2 linked regions of the Medicago truncatula genome follow. The protein of the gene in region 1 interacts with the protein of each later gene in a pairwise test. Links are inferred from orthologs where the notes say so. Each region holds a gene or a part of one and is shown in the gene's direction. Other genes may lie near its edges.

What was found.
Region 2: the proteins of uncharacterized protein (region 1) and uncharacterized protein interact in a two-hybrid assay, tested with the Arabidopsis thaliana proteins (2 studies listed by BioGRID, with this or other methods). The link is inferred for Medicago truncatula from reciprocal best matches to the Arabidopsis thaliana genes AT3G29270 and AT3G13175.

Annotation. Positions count from the first base shown.
Region 1 is NC_053047.1:4,249,573-4,256,840, forward strand, and holds the start of uncharacterized protein, read left to right. Parts: upstream 1-4,217; 5' UTR 4,218-4,412; intron 4,413-6,034; 5' UTR 6,035-6,035; coding exon 6,036-6,836; 3' UTR 6,837-7,268.
Region 2 is NC_053046.1:43,006,108-43,011,834, reverse strand, and holds uncharacterized protein, read left to right. Parts: upstream 1-4,350; 5' UTR 4,351-4,495; coding exon 4,496-4,786; 3' UTR 4,787-5,189; downstream 5,190-5,727. Other genes in the region: cysteine synthase 2, read right to left, coding at 45-119, 209-418.

The DNA of each region.
Region 1 (7,268 bases):
TGTTATTTGTCTACAATTTATATAATTCAACATTCCTCTTCCACCGAACCAATTAAACTAGTTTCTTTCACATCGGTGACACCGCCATCATCATCATTCACAGTTCATCCGCATAAGCACTAAAACACATGACATTGAAATCACCAATTCAAAGACAGGGATCATCAAATAAATTAAGAAAACATAAAAACGAAAATTGAAAATAGATCTGAAGAAATGAGAATAATCATGGAAATGGATCCTGGAGTAAAAAAAAAACATAGATCAAACGAAATAAAAGGGTAACTGTGCGAGAAGCGGATCTGGAAAACGCAAGCCACATGGTAGAGTGGTTTAGCTGGACGACGGTGAGTGGAGGTGTCTGAAGGTCCAATAAGATGGTGGAAATGCTTCGGAGGTCCGTCGGAAGCTTTGGGACGGTTGGTTTGATCAGCAGTTTCCGGTTGGGGAGAGTGGGGATGGAGGATTGAGAAGAGTGTGAAAATATCTAATGTTAAGAGTCCATGATAGTACCGTGTTCTTCATTTGATCCAATGCACATAATCAACTCTCCCATGGTGGGAAAAAACTTCACTTACCCATACTAAACGCCACCCAATGAAGAGTTCAAGTAACAACTTGAAGACAATATTGTCATGTTTGGTTTCATTTTTAAACTGTTGTTGTGTGTTTGAAACCATCTTAGAAAAGTATGTATATGTCTCTCAATTTCATTTTTTAGCACGAAATTAAAAACTTCAAGATCTAACTTTTTTTTTTTTGTTGTGTTTTGAAGAAATTAAATGTGGTTTAATGAGACATTTCATCTAATTATATCATTAAGATATAATTTTAACTTACCTCCAAAAATAAGGTTGAAGTTTCATAAAAAAAAAAAAAAAATTAAAATTAATTATATCATAATAATGTGACTTACAAACAAACGCGCTTCGACGCACAACTCATTCTTAGCATGAATATATTACTAGTTAATAAAAATGTTAGATCACATGTTTTATGAAAATTTCTACAACCCTAGTGGGATGATATTTATGTATCAATATACTACTACTTGTTTTTGAGTGAGTATACTTACTTGATCACCATTTTAACAAATGATATCCACATGCACAAATAACAATCATTTGCTACTCGCTTCATTGAGTAAGAATAATATATTAAAGGTGAGAAAAACATAAGAAAGGAGATTGAATTCTATTGGTTTTTTCAAAAACTTTTCTAAGTGTTTCAAAACTGATCAAAGTCTAACTTAAAGTTTGTTTGCAACGGATAAATCAAACACAAAAAGAGGGAGAGAGGGAGAGAGATAGAGATAGAGAGAGGGGGGGAGAGAGATTTATATTGGTTCCTCCTACAAACTAGGAGTAATCTAGTCTCATTGCACTTCCAAGGGATTTCACTATAACCTCACTGGATTACAATTGCTCAAGGACACCTCCAAGAGACTTCCAAATGTACAAGCATACAAGCAAGATACTTTCAATGTTCATTCACAACTGAAAGAGACTTCCTATGCTCAAGCACACATGCAAGAGACTTCTAAAGGTTTACAAATAAACAAGATTCGTTCTTACACTTAATATCATAGTCTTGTTGCTGTTCTTCAAGTCTTCAACTCTTTATATAGGCAAGGATTTGAGAGACGTTGGAGTAGAATGTCAGCGCAGTAAGACTTATTGAGAAGCTTCAAATCAAGAACGTTGACCCTTTGTCTGATATGGATAGTTTCGTTGATTAAACATTTGAAATTCTTTTGCAAAAACTGGAATTATCTGGTCATTTTATTTGCCCTTGAAGTTATTTGTTTGTTTCTACATGTGGTTAGAAGAAGATAAACTCTACTATCAGACTTTGATAGAGACAACTACATAAGAGGACAAATCTGACGTGGAGTCTGGGTCCCTCAAGATCTTATGTACTTCTGAGTTTGAAGATTTTTCGAGTCTGATGTTCTTCAGAGTCTGATGAGGATTTTCAGCTTTAGAGTAACAACTATTCTTCTGATCCAAGGTGTTGACTTTTGATTGACCTTTCTTCAGATCTTCTACCATAGTCTTTCAGCTTCTTGTGTATTTTTTATGCTCTTATACATGTTCAAAACTTGTTAAATTTTAATATATGGTCATGCACACTTGAACATGTATTAGAATATCCAATTGTTATTTAATGTTTTGTTGTCATCAAAACTTTAGAGAAATTGTACAAACCAATTTTGATCCAATATATATATTTCTATCTCACATTCATGAATTTTTTTTAGAGGATCCCCCATCCATGGATATTTATAATTTTTTGTTAAAGAATCATTTACGTACAAAAATTATCATTGAAAATATTTTTTTTCTTTTTCTTTTATATGGAAGAGGCTAATTTATTAATTCAACGGTTACCAATATACACCTCTTTCTACTTACTTTCCACAATAAAATTTTCAATCAAATCATTCTTAAATTATTACACTTACTAGGAAATTGATCCTTATACAACAAGAGTCATACCTGTTCAGAAATTACCTCATTTGCAACAACATTTTGAACTAAGCATAATTTCCTTGCACCTCTTGAGCAACAACATTTTCTAAAACATCATTAGCAATAACTTTTCATCATTTTCAGCATTTTCTTCTTTTGGTTCTTCAGGCTCGGTATTGATTCAGTCTTTTGGTCTCCTAAACACACATTTCTTCACAAAGCCTTTTGAGTTATGACCAAACAATCCATACCCGCCACATTGAGTGTCATTGTAAATCTTCTTCATGTTACTCCTACAAACATGCTCCTCATTGCCATCCTTTCTCTTGTTCTTCTTTGGTCTTCCTGCAACACGTCTCACCTTTGGTGGCACATGTTTGTCATAAGGAGTTGGTTCCCAATATATTTGAGAATTCACTAGATGAATGAAATAGTTGTAAGTTATCCGATATGATCCAAGGGTTAACCAAACATTACATTAACAACTGTTTCATCCATTCCTTGAGTAGCTTCAACATTTTCCTCTTGATTATATACTCTATTTTGCACACTTGCAACCAAACAGTCTATCACATTTCTTTACTCATCAGTTAATATATCAACCTCCATAACTCTTGTATCAGCTTCAGTTGTCCCCATACTTACATTTCTCAGAGACTCTTGCATAGCTCTCTCAAGCTCCTGCATCTCTTCAGAATATAATGGTACAAGTTCAACCTCATCATTATCCACCACATGTTGTGCATATATTTCCACTTCATCCCATTAGCCATTGCAACTTGCACCATATCCAAAACATGTTTATCAATTGTCAATGAATTCAAGCAGATATTGCGATTAGAAGCAACACCTTCATACAACTTCAAGTATCACAATTTTAGATACCTTGAAGTAACTCTGCAATGTTTCACCATCTTCTCAATGTCCCACAAACATAACTCACCTGCATCCATTTTTTCCCAACACACAAAATTCACCTAGAACATATTGCTGCCTCCGATACTCATCTCGCTCTAAACCCCCCACCGTGATGCATAATTAGCGTGATATTTTCTTCCATCCTACAGATTTTGGCAACCTTTGTCATAATCACAAACAAAACAACTTCAGAACGCAAATCAGAATTCTACAGCATAGGAAAGATACCATGTGTAGAAATTGTTTTAATCAACCAATAATTTCCTTAATTACTTAATGTTCACCAATTTTAGTAACCAACCAGTAAATCATCAAAAAATTTAGTCTTAAATTGAAAACCCTAAAATGAATAATAAAAAATGTTCTAAAAAACACAACCGTCACAAAAAACATCAAAGAAAGCATCAAATGAAGTTTAAACATGAAAACGAATGGATAAAAAATGAAAACGAAAATAAAGAAAACAGTCACAAAAATGGGGGAAAATGAACATGAGTGAATGAAAAACGAACAAGATAGGCGTTACGTTTCGTTTCAAACAATATCTTTTCCAACGTTGATCGATGAAGATGATGATGATTTTGGAGAAATGAAGATTGTGAAGGTTTTAGCGGGAAGGAGAAGAGTCATTGACGTTTCTGAATGAAATGCGAGGATGATAGGAATGAGTGAAAGAGGAAAAATATGAAAAAATTGAAAGTCAAAAGTTAAAAATGATACGCAACACAACGCAACACAACATGTAAATTAGAGGACAAATTTGATTAGTCGTTATAAATTCAAGGATGAAGTTGATGATCCACTCAATAAATAAATAACCCTGTAAAGAAAGACGGGTGATACCGACAGTGACATCATATAGGTGTGTAAGATAGAGTGGGCTAGATGAGTGATGAAAACGACATCGTTTTGATATAGGGTTTCTGTTTTGCGATCGAATCGAGTGGTACCAACCAAATCAATCAACGATTCTCTGCTCGTGCCACTGTCAGTCCACAATTTCTCCAATTTTCCGCACAATCGGTACCTTCCTCTTCTAATTCTAAATTCCAATCCCCCTTTTGATCTGTTTTGCTTTTAATTAGGGTTTCTAGTTTTTTTTTCTTCAAATTATATAATTTGGGATTATAATTTTGTGGTGTTTTTCAATGACCCAGTTCATTTTTTACACTAAAAATTGTTTTTTAAGTGTTATTTCTTATGATCTGAATGATTTCTTTAATGGGTGTTTTAACTTTAGCTTGATTTTGATAAGTTGATTTTGAAGATGAACTATTTGAATTGGGGGTATGGTAATAAAGTACTGAACTTTGATGTGATCTTTGAAGAAGGAAAAATCTGAAATCTGTTATTAAATGTGTTTATCAAATAAGTGTTTTTAGCTTGTTTTCAATTATATGATATGATTTTTACATTTTGATATGTGATGATCATTATGATTAGTTATATCGAAATGGTTGCAGTAGTTTTTTAGTCTAGATCAGGATCTTTCAAATTCTAGTTGTTCAGCTGGTAGAAAAGTAGATAGCTGACATTTTTGTTTGATTTGCTAAGTGATGACATTGACTTGTGATGTTAATTTAGCTGTCTAGTTACGTTATGTTATCCAGATGAGTTGGTTCATACTGAAATTGAGATGCAGAAGGTAGTTTAAATTTTTATGCAGAAATTGAGATTGCCAAGTTCGTGTGATATCTGTAAGCATTTCTTGAGAAGTTAATCTTACTTGGCTCATAAACTTGACAAAATATTTTGTGCAAGCTTGGTGATTAGGATTTGGATCCATTGCATTAAAAAACACACAGTTACACTTACACGCTTAAATTGATCCTGATCATCTATTTGAGATGAGCTGGCTCACATTACACGGTCACCAAATCATGTTTAAATAATTTTGACTATTGATTTGTGTCGGGACACCTAGGACCAATAACCACGTCACCCAGTTACTGAATGGAATCCAAATACCCTACTTTATTAATAGTTTTTGATTTCTAGCATTTTTTTAAAATAGTGGCTTGCCAATTCTTTTATGGACTAGAAGGAACTTTTTACAGCAAAGCTTACTAAATTCTTGATAGTCTTATTTATAATAAAAGCAGGATAAAGCATGCATGGTAGGCACTCTAATATGGATAGTGTGAAGATGTTATGGTGGCATTTTCTTTTAGTTTTAGGTTTTTCTTTGTCACACTAGACAAAATAGAATTAGGAGTGAAGTCATGAGAGGGAAAGTTGGGGTAACGCCCATCGTGGGAAAATTGTAAAGTAACCTCTTAGGTGGCTTAAACATGTTAAAGACATCGACTAGGGGGGTAGACCAGATGAAGGACACTTAAATAGTTAGAGGAAGACCAAGGAAAACTATACGTCAAAGTAAAACCATCAATAGAGAGCTTTAAATAAACTGCTTATTTATAATATTTATATATGTCATCCATGACAGAAAGTTTCGGTGTTGTTTAATCCATGTAGATGATCTCAACTAGCTGGGAAAGGCTTTGGTTGTTGATGTTCCTTGTTACTATTATGTAGTTCTGTACTATTTGCTTCTTTCATACATTATGTGTTGAGTCAGTCATTAATTGATCACATTGAGGACTGAATGATACCTTCTGACTGATTATAAACTTATTGTGATTCAGAATGTGGAACTTCGCATCAAATTGTATTGCTGGAAATGTAGGGCTGAAAAAGGATTCGTCAAACCCAACTCATTCTGCTTCAGAATGTTCTGATGATGAGACCTCTGTCGTAGGAAGAGAGGAAGGGCTTGAGTGCCCAGTATGCTGGGAATCTTTCAATATTGTTGAAAATGTGCCTTATGTTTTGTGGTGTGGTCATACACTCTGTAAAAACTGTATCTTGGGACTACAATGGGCTACCGTGAAATTTCCAACGCTGCCGGTTCAACTTCCACTTTTCATCTCCTGCCCTTGGTGCAACCTTCTATCATTTCGTTTAGTATATCGAGGAAATCTTAGATTCCCTCGTAAGAACTACTTTCTTCTTTGGATGGTTGAGGGCATGAATGGTGACCGAGTAAAATCACATTCAACTTGCTGTGGGGATAATCAACAACAGTGTGCAAGCAAAGGTAATTTAACCTTAGGAGGGCAAGTAAACCATGGAAATCTTCAGGGGGGGCAAGTCCACCCTCCAGATACATCGAACTCCAGTCAGCCTCGGGCTAATACCCGCAATCACCTCGATATGGAAAGGGTGCATATATCTCTTCGAAAGTCATTGATTTTCTTTGTCCAGTTGACAGCTAAGTTCCCGTTGATCATTATATTTCTTTTGATTATCTTGTATGCAGTACCAGCCAGTGCAGCCATTTTGGCTCTGTATATACTTGTTACAATTCTCTTTGCTCTCCCGTCATTTCTCATCTTGTACTTCTCATATCCAAGTTTAGACTGGCTTGTCAGGGAAATAATTGCCTGACATCATAAGCTAGTTTAAGCTTTTGTTCCATGATTTGCCGGCTTCCCCTTTAGTCCATTACAAGCTGTGTTAGTTCTCTTCTGGCATACAGCACTGCTCAATTTAATACAGTAGTATAATCGACTCGGACTTGATTTCAGCTATGGTAAAGCTTGGTTGGTTGGTACTGGTAGGTACAGAATCAGTGCCATTAATAGTGTTGATGTAAACCAAGACTGTGGACTAGCGCCATGATTATGCCCATGCCGTTTTTCTGGAGGCAATTATTTGTCTGGTTTAATTCCAGTTTTACTTGGGGGAGAATCGATCCCGATACTTGGGGACTACATTTATCAATGTCATGTTTTGTATGGTATGGGTATTTCTTTTAATACAGCTTATAGTTATATGTTTGTATCTTTAGAAAAAAGAGTTATATGTTTGTAAATTGTA
Region 2 (5,727 bases), on another chromosome or scaffold:
TGTAATCAGTATCAATAATTGAAAGAGGGGTTTAGTAAAGTTACCTCTTCAATAATTTGAACTGCAACACGATCTTTAACACTCCCTCCAGGATTCAAAAACTCACACTTGCCAAGAATCTAAACAATAAATAACAGAGTTATAAACAATACTACAAAAATTAGTGTAACAGAACGAAAAAATGAAAATTGAATAAGGGATTAATTACTTCGCAACCAGTGGCATCAGAGAGACTATTGATTCTAATCAAAGGAGTGTTACCAATGGCGTCAATGATTCCATTCTTTGATTTCTTCTTCTTCTTCTTCTTAGATGGATTGCAGAGACGGTCGCAGAAGAAATATGCAACGACGAGGGAGACGAAGATGGCAGTTCCGACACCAACAGCGCCGGCGTTTCTCGCTGCCACAGGCGCCATTTTTTCGAGCTTTCATGCTTTGGGCTTGTTAGTTGTTACTAATAAACAAATAGAAAGTTTCTATTTGCACCCTTATTTTTTCTTCTTTTATACTTCTTCTCCTACGAATTTTCAAAGTACTACCATTTTTTGTACGAGTTTAATTTTGAAATTAGTTTTTTTTATTAACAAGATATAATTTTGAAATTAGTGTCTTGAAGATCATCCTGCATTGGAAGTGTATAATAGATGGAGATGATCCTAATCTCTATTTTCTCGTTCTAAATATTTGTTATTCAAAAACAAAAAAAAAACAGAGGAAAGATGTGTTTCAAAAGTTACTTCTTAGATATTTATTAAAATTTCGTTTATCATTTTGATTTGTCTATGTATTTATGAACGTTTTGGTGTTTAGGTAAATTAATAAAAATAGCTTATCATATTTTTATAAGCTGCTTATATTGTATTTTAATAAGTTCAATTTTTTAGCTTAACACAAGGCTTATTATGGAGCTTATGGAATTAACGTGACCTCCTTCGTTCCAATTCTTTCCAAAGCTATATTTTAATATTATATTGGAGAGAAAGATAGGTATAAGCTTATCTTTATTGAGTAACAACATCATTAAAAATAATAATAACAAACATAAATTATCCTTCCTTCAAAAAAAAAAAATAACTTGTCCTCTTTTTTTTTAACAAACATGTACGCTAATGGTACATCCATTCAAGTTCTACCATCATAATTTCTTAAGATTTTTTATATCTTAGATTAATTTTGTAAAAAAATTCTCGATAATTGTTGTTTGATTCTTTATTTTTATTTTTTTGTTAAATTAAACATATTTAAAATTTTTATAATTGCTTATGTAATAGCTCATCCAAACACTTCAATTTAAGTAAATACTTTTTACTGTACATATCCAAACATAAAGAGCTTATCAAGTATAAGAACTTATGTTGTAAGCTCTAATGTTATAAGCATCTATATAAGCTGTTTATCCAAACGGGGCCATAGACGCACATCCGATCACGTTAGAGGCAGTGGCGAAGTCAGAAAAAAAACTCAGGCGGGCCACTAAAATTAATTATAATATATAAACACAAATTAAAATTGTAATAAACATTAAGTATGAAGTTGAAATGACGGAGTTTGACTAAAATGTTAGGGTAGATATTTATAAAATTACGTATTTAACAAATACTATAAATTATTAAACTTTTTTTGTACATTACAACCGTTAACTGAGAGAATTTTCAGTTGACATGACTATATGTCAAGTATAAGCATCACAAAAATCACGTATGCCACTTTTGATACCATGAAATACTATAACCATTGAAAAATTGTTTAAAGACTCGTAAAATATACCTACAATTGAATTATTTAAATTTTTCGGGTGGGCCACTACACCACTTTGCAGAAATTTGGATCAACCAAAATCTAAAACTGACACTAAATTGTATAAAATATCGCAAAGTAGACATATGATCGTTAATTTTTTAATATTTTTTAGGCGAGTCACCCACCTAGCCCATGAAACGCTCCGCCACTAGTTAGAGGAAACACATTGAGCATGATTGTCTCGATTAGACATGAGTATACAAGGAAGACTAGACATGACAGATTCAAAGTGTCTTACGAGCTCGAGCCTCGTCATGTCCCCGAGGTTGAGCCTGAGGCAACAGAGTCACTACATGAGCCCCAACATGAGGAGGCTGGACAAGAGGAAGCGTCAGCACATCCACATAAGTGATATCATGGTGCCCCAGATGATATGCTAGTCCTGATCCTGTATTCACACAAGGTGGCCAATTAAAGAAAATATTATTTTGACTTGTAACTAGTGACTAGGGGTGTTCACGTTCTTAGATGACATGTTCAACCTAGTAACTCAAATCAATCGGTAATTGACTTAAACTTGTTCAAGTTTGGGTCAAACTCAAGCTAACCCCCCTTAAACCTGAAGTGTTTTGATTTGGATAACAAACTGATGATTCAAAACTCGAAAACCTACTGATCCATCTGGTTAAAAGAATTATTTGTTGATTTAGAAGTATTTCAATTAAATTCAAGAAATTCTAAATTAAAGAATTCAGTGTATCTGTTTGAATTTTCATGAAAAAAAAATATTTAATTATATAATATATTTATTTATTTTTATAAAAAGTTATGTCTTCTAACTCCATACGACTCAAACCAACTTTTTATCATTTGGTGGAATTGTTAACTTTGTAACATTTTGATCCTAGCATTCCTATTACTTTGATCATATGATTTTTTTATTTTTATTTTTAAGAAATCATGTGATTTTAATATATAAAAAAAAAAGAGAAATGTTAACTTCTGCTTTAAAGCATAAATTTAGAAGTCAAAAATAGAAATAATGTATTGGAATGTGTACATTAAATTTAATTTTTAATGTTTAAAGAATTAAATGCACAAAATTTAAGGGAATAATTCTATTTTTTAGATTTCTTAACATGTGCCCTAAGGGCGCAAGTTAACACTACCCAAAGAAAAAATAGTAGTAATTTTTTGGTTTTTATAAAAAAATAAAATAAAAAAATTGATTGGTTCGAGTAATGTGTTTGGTCAAAACCAATTCTAACCGTGTACATCCCTATCATTGATCAAACTTAGGTTTTCTCGATTACTCGTTGAAATTCAACAACTTTACAACAATGATATTTAGATATTTTTTTCCCACCGCATTTTATCTCTACCTTTTTTTTCTATCACATTATCAATCTATTATATTTGTCATATAATTTTTTTCTCTCTCTCTCATCTATCTTAGGTTAAAACACCGGACTCCAATGATATTTTGTGTAGACATTTTCCTTAAATTTACATTTTTTTTTTAATGTTGAGTCTAGAAAAAAAGGCCTTGATAATCTGATTATTTAAAGTTCGACTTAGAAGTAAGTAAAATTGGTCAAGAAGTGATCCACCCATAAAACCAAATTCAGATTTTTTTTGAATAATTCATCGTTTGGTGGAGTTCATTAAACACAACCTAATTATTTTGTTTGATCAACATCATTATTATTTAAACACCAATTTGTATTATTTTATAGAAACTCTGCACTAGTATAAACTATAAAGGTACGAAGCACGAACTTTGACACGAATATCTGACACGGACAATTAGACACCGCTAATGTAAAAAAATAGGACACCGACACCGCTACATATATATTAATTTATTTATAAAAGATCCAAATTGAGAATAAAAAAAACATACATGTTCATCTAATTTGAGCAAATTATTTAATTAAAAAAAATTCTAAAACAAAATAAGATGACATTTGACCTTTATTTATCCATCTTCTATCGAAAAAGCTAAAAACACCGTAAGTGACTTTGATGTCTATAACCCCTCATTGATCTAAGATTTCTCAACACATATTCTCTTGTATCTATGGTTTGTGGAAGAAAGAGGGAGAAAACATGATTCAGAAAAATGTCTGAGTTGTTCGACACTTCTCATATGACTATGGGTGTTATATAGGTGTTGGACACCGGTCAAAGGAGTGTCCGAGTAAAGGAAAAATAATTGTATTTAAAACACTTGTCTGACACGTGTCACACGAGTATCATAAAAGTGTTGGACACTGATACGTGTTAGACACCGTGACATGCCTAGTCCTAGAGGTGTCCGTGCTTCAAAGCTACTCCCTTCGGTCCTATTTACAAGAGAAAGTTGACTTTTTAGATACATTGAATAATGTACGTATTTAGTCAAGAACCTGAACCAAATACATAAATTATTTAATGTATTTAAAAAGTAAATTGTTTATTGTAAATAGGATCGGAAGGAGTATAAAGTATTCTAGACACGTGAATCGAAAGCAAAATGCTATTTTAATTCCGAACCATTTGAGATAATAATAAAATAAATAAAAAAATACTTAAAACGGTGGAAATGGAAAGTTGAAAGTGGAAATCTAAAGAAAAGAACAGTTAGTGAGTGAGTGAGAATCTAATCTAGTAAATCTAAACACAGAAAAACAAACACACACCACAAGACACAAGTGACACAACAACCTCAACTCAAACTCAACCAGTGTTATACCTCACACTCACTTTCACTAATGAAGATCCCAGAAAAGCTTCTAAAACTAAGATACCATATCATAGCAGCACTACTTTTATGCATAACACTCTTTTCTCTCATAGCTATGGCTCCTAAATTGGTGACCCTTTTCACCTATTTTTGGCCACTCTTTCTCTCCACAGCACTTGTTCTTGCCCTTGTCTTTGTCTTTGCAAAAACTTCTCCTTTACCTCAAACTGATGCTTCAATTCATAAGGGTCTTCTTGATTACGTTGCTGGTGACCATGAATCGCAGCTGGATCTTCACAACAACTACAAGGCCGATTAGTGTCCCAAGATATACATCAGAAGGATTATAGCTATCAGCCGTCCGATCCAGATCGATGGTTGAGAGTGAAACAACTGATTGTGTAATGTGTATCTTTATGTACTCTAATTCAACTCTATAATTACTATAAGTAAAAGTTTGCATTTTAGATTTATTTATTAAATGATGTATGTGATCTATTACATTATTAATTGAATGAATCTAAAATGTAAATTTTTGCCTATAATAATGATCAGAGGCTATATTTCTTTAGTTAGTTTAATCTTTTTTTTCTTCAATATAATTATCATTATCTTAGTAGTTTTTATTTATCTTGTTACTTTTTTAAGATTGACTTGTGAATTTGTATTAACTAGTGTTGAGGGATTGAAATTATTAATTACATCTTTCTTTATTTTTTTTCATAATAAAATTTAATTTTGGGTAGAGACTAGAGATGATAGCTTTTGATTTGAGGATTTTTTTTTTCTCAAAAGAATATAAATAGAGACGGCCATTTTATCATCTATTTATGTAGAATTAGCTTTATTTTTGGGTTAAAAAAAGTCTAACGAATTAGCTCAAACACTAAACTAAGAGCATGTTGATTCTTCATTCACTCACACTCACGATGTGAAATAATAAATTTTGGATTTTAGGCCCCCAACACAAAGTTTGTGACTTATTTTTTTTATGATATGTCATTTTCATCAATGTAAAACTAGATTGGATGATGTAATATTGCTAATTTTGACTAAGATCACTGCTATTTATCGCAAACCCTTTACAAAATTTAGCGAATGTCGACGTGTTCATTGGTTAGTCCAAAGAGTAATGCTTATCATCACGAGGAAGAAAAATTCACGAGACATTTGCTATGCATCTTCTCGTAACGATAAACATTACTTTTTGGACTAAAAATCCTATTGCAACTTTTTATTCAGATTAATTGATCAAGTGTA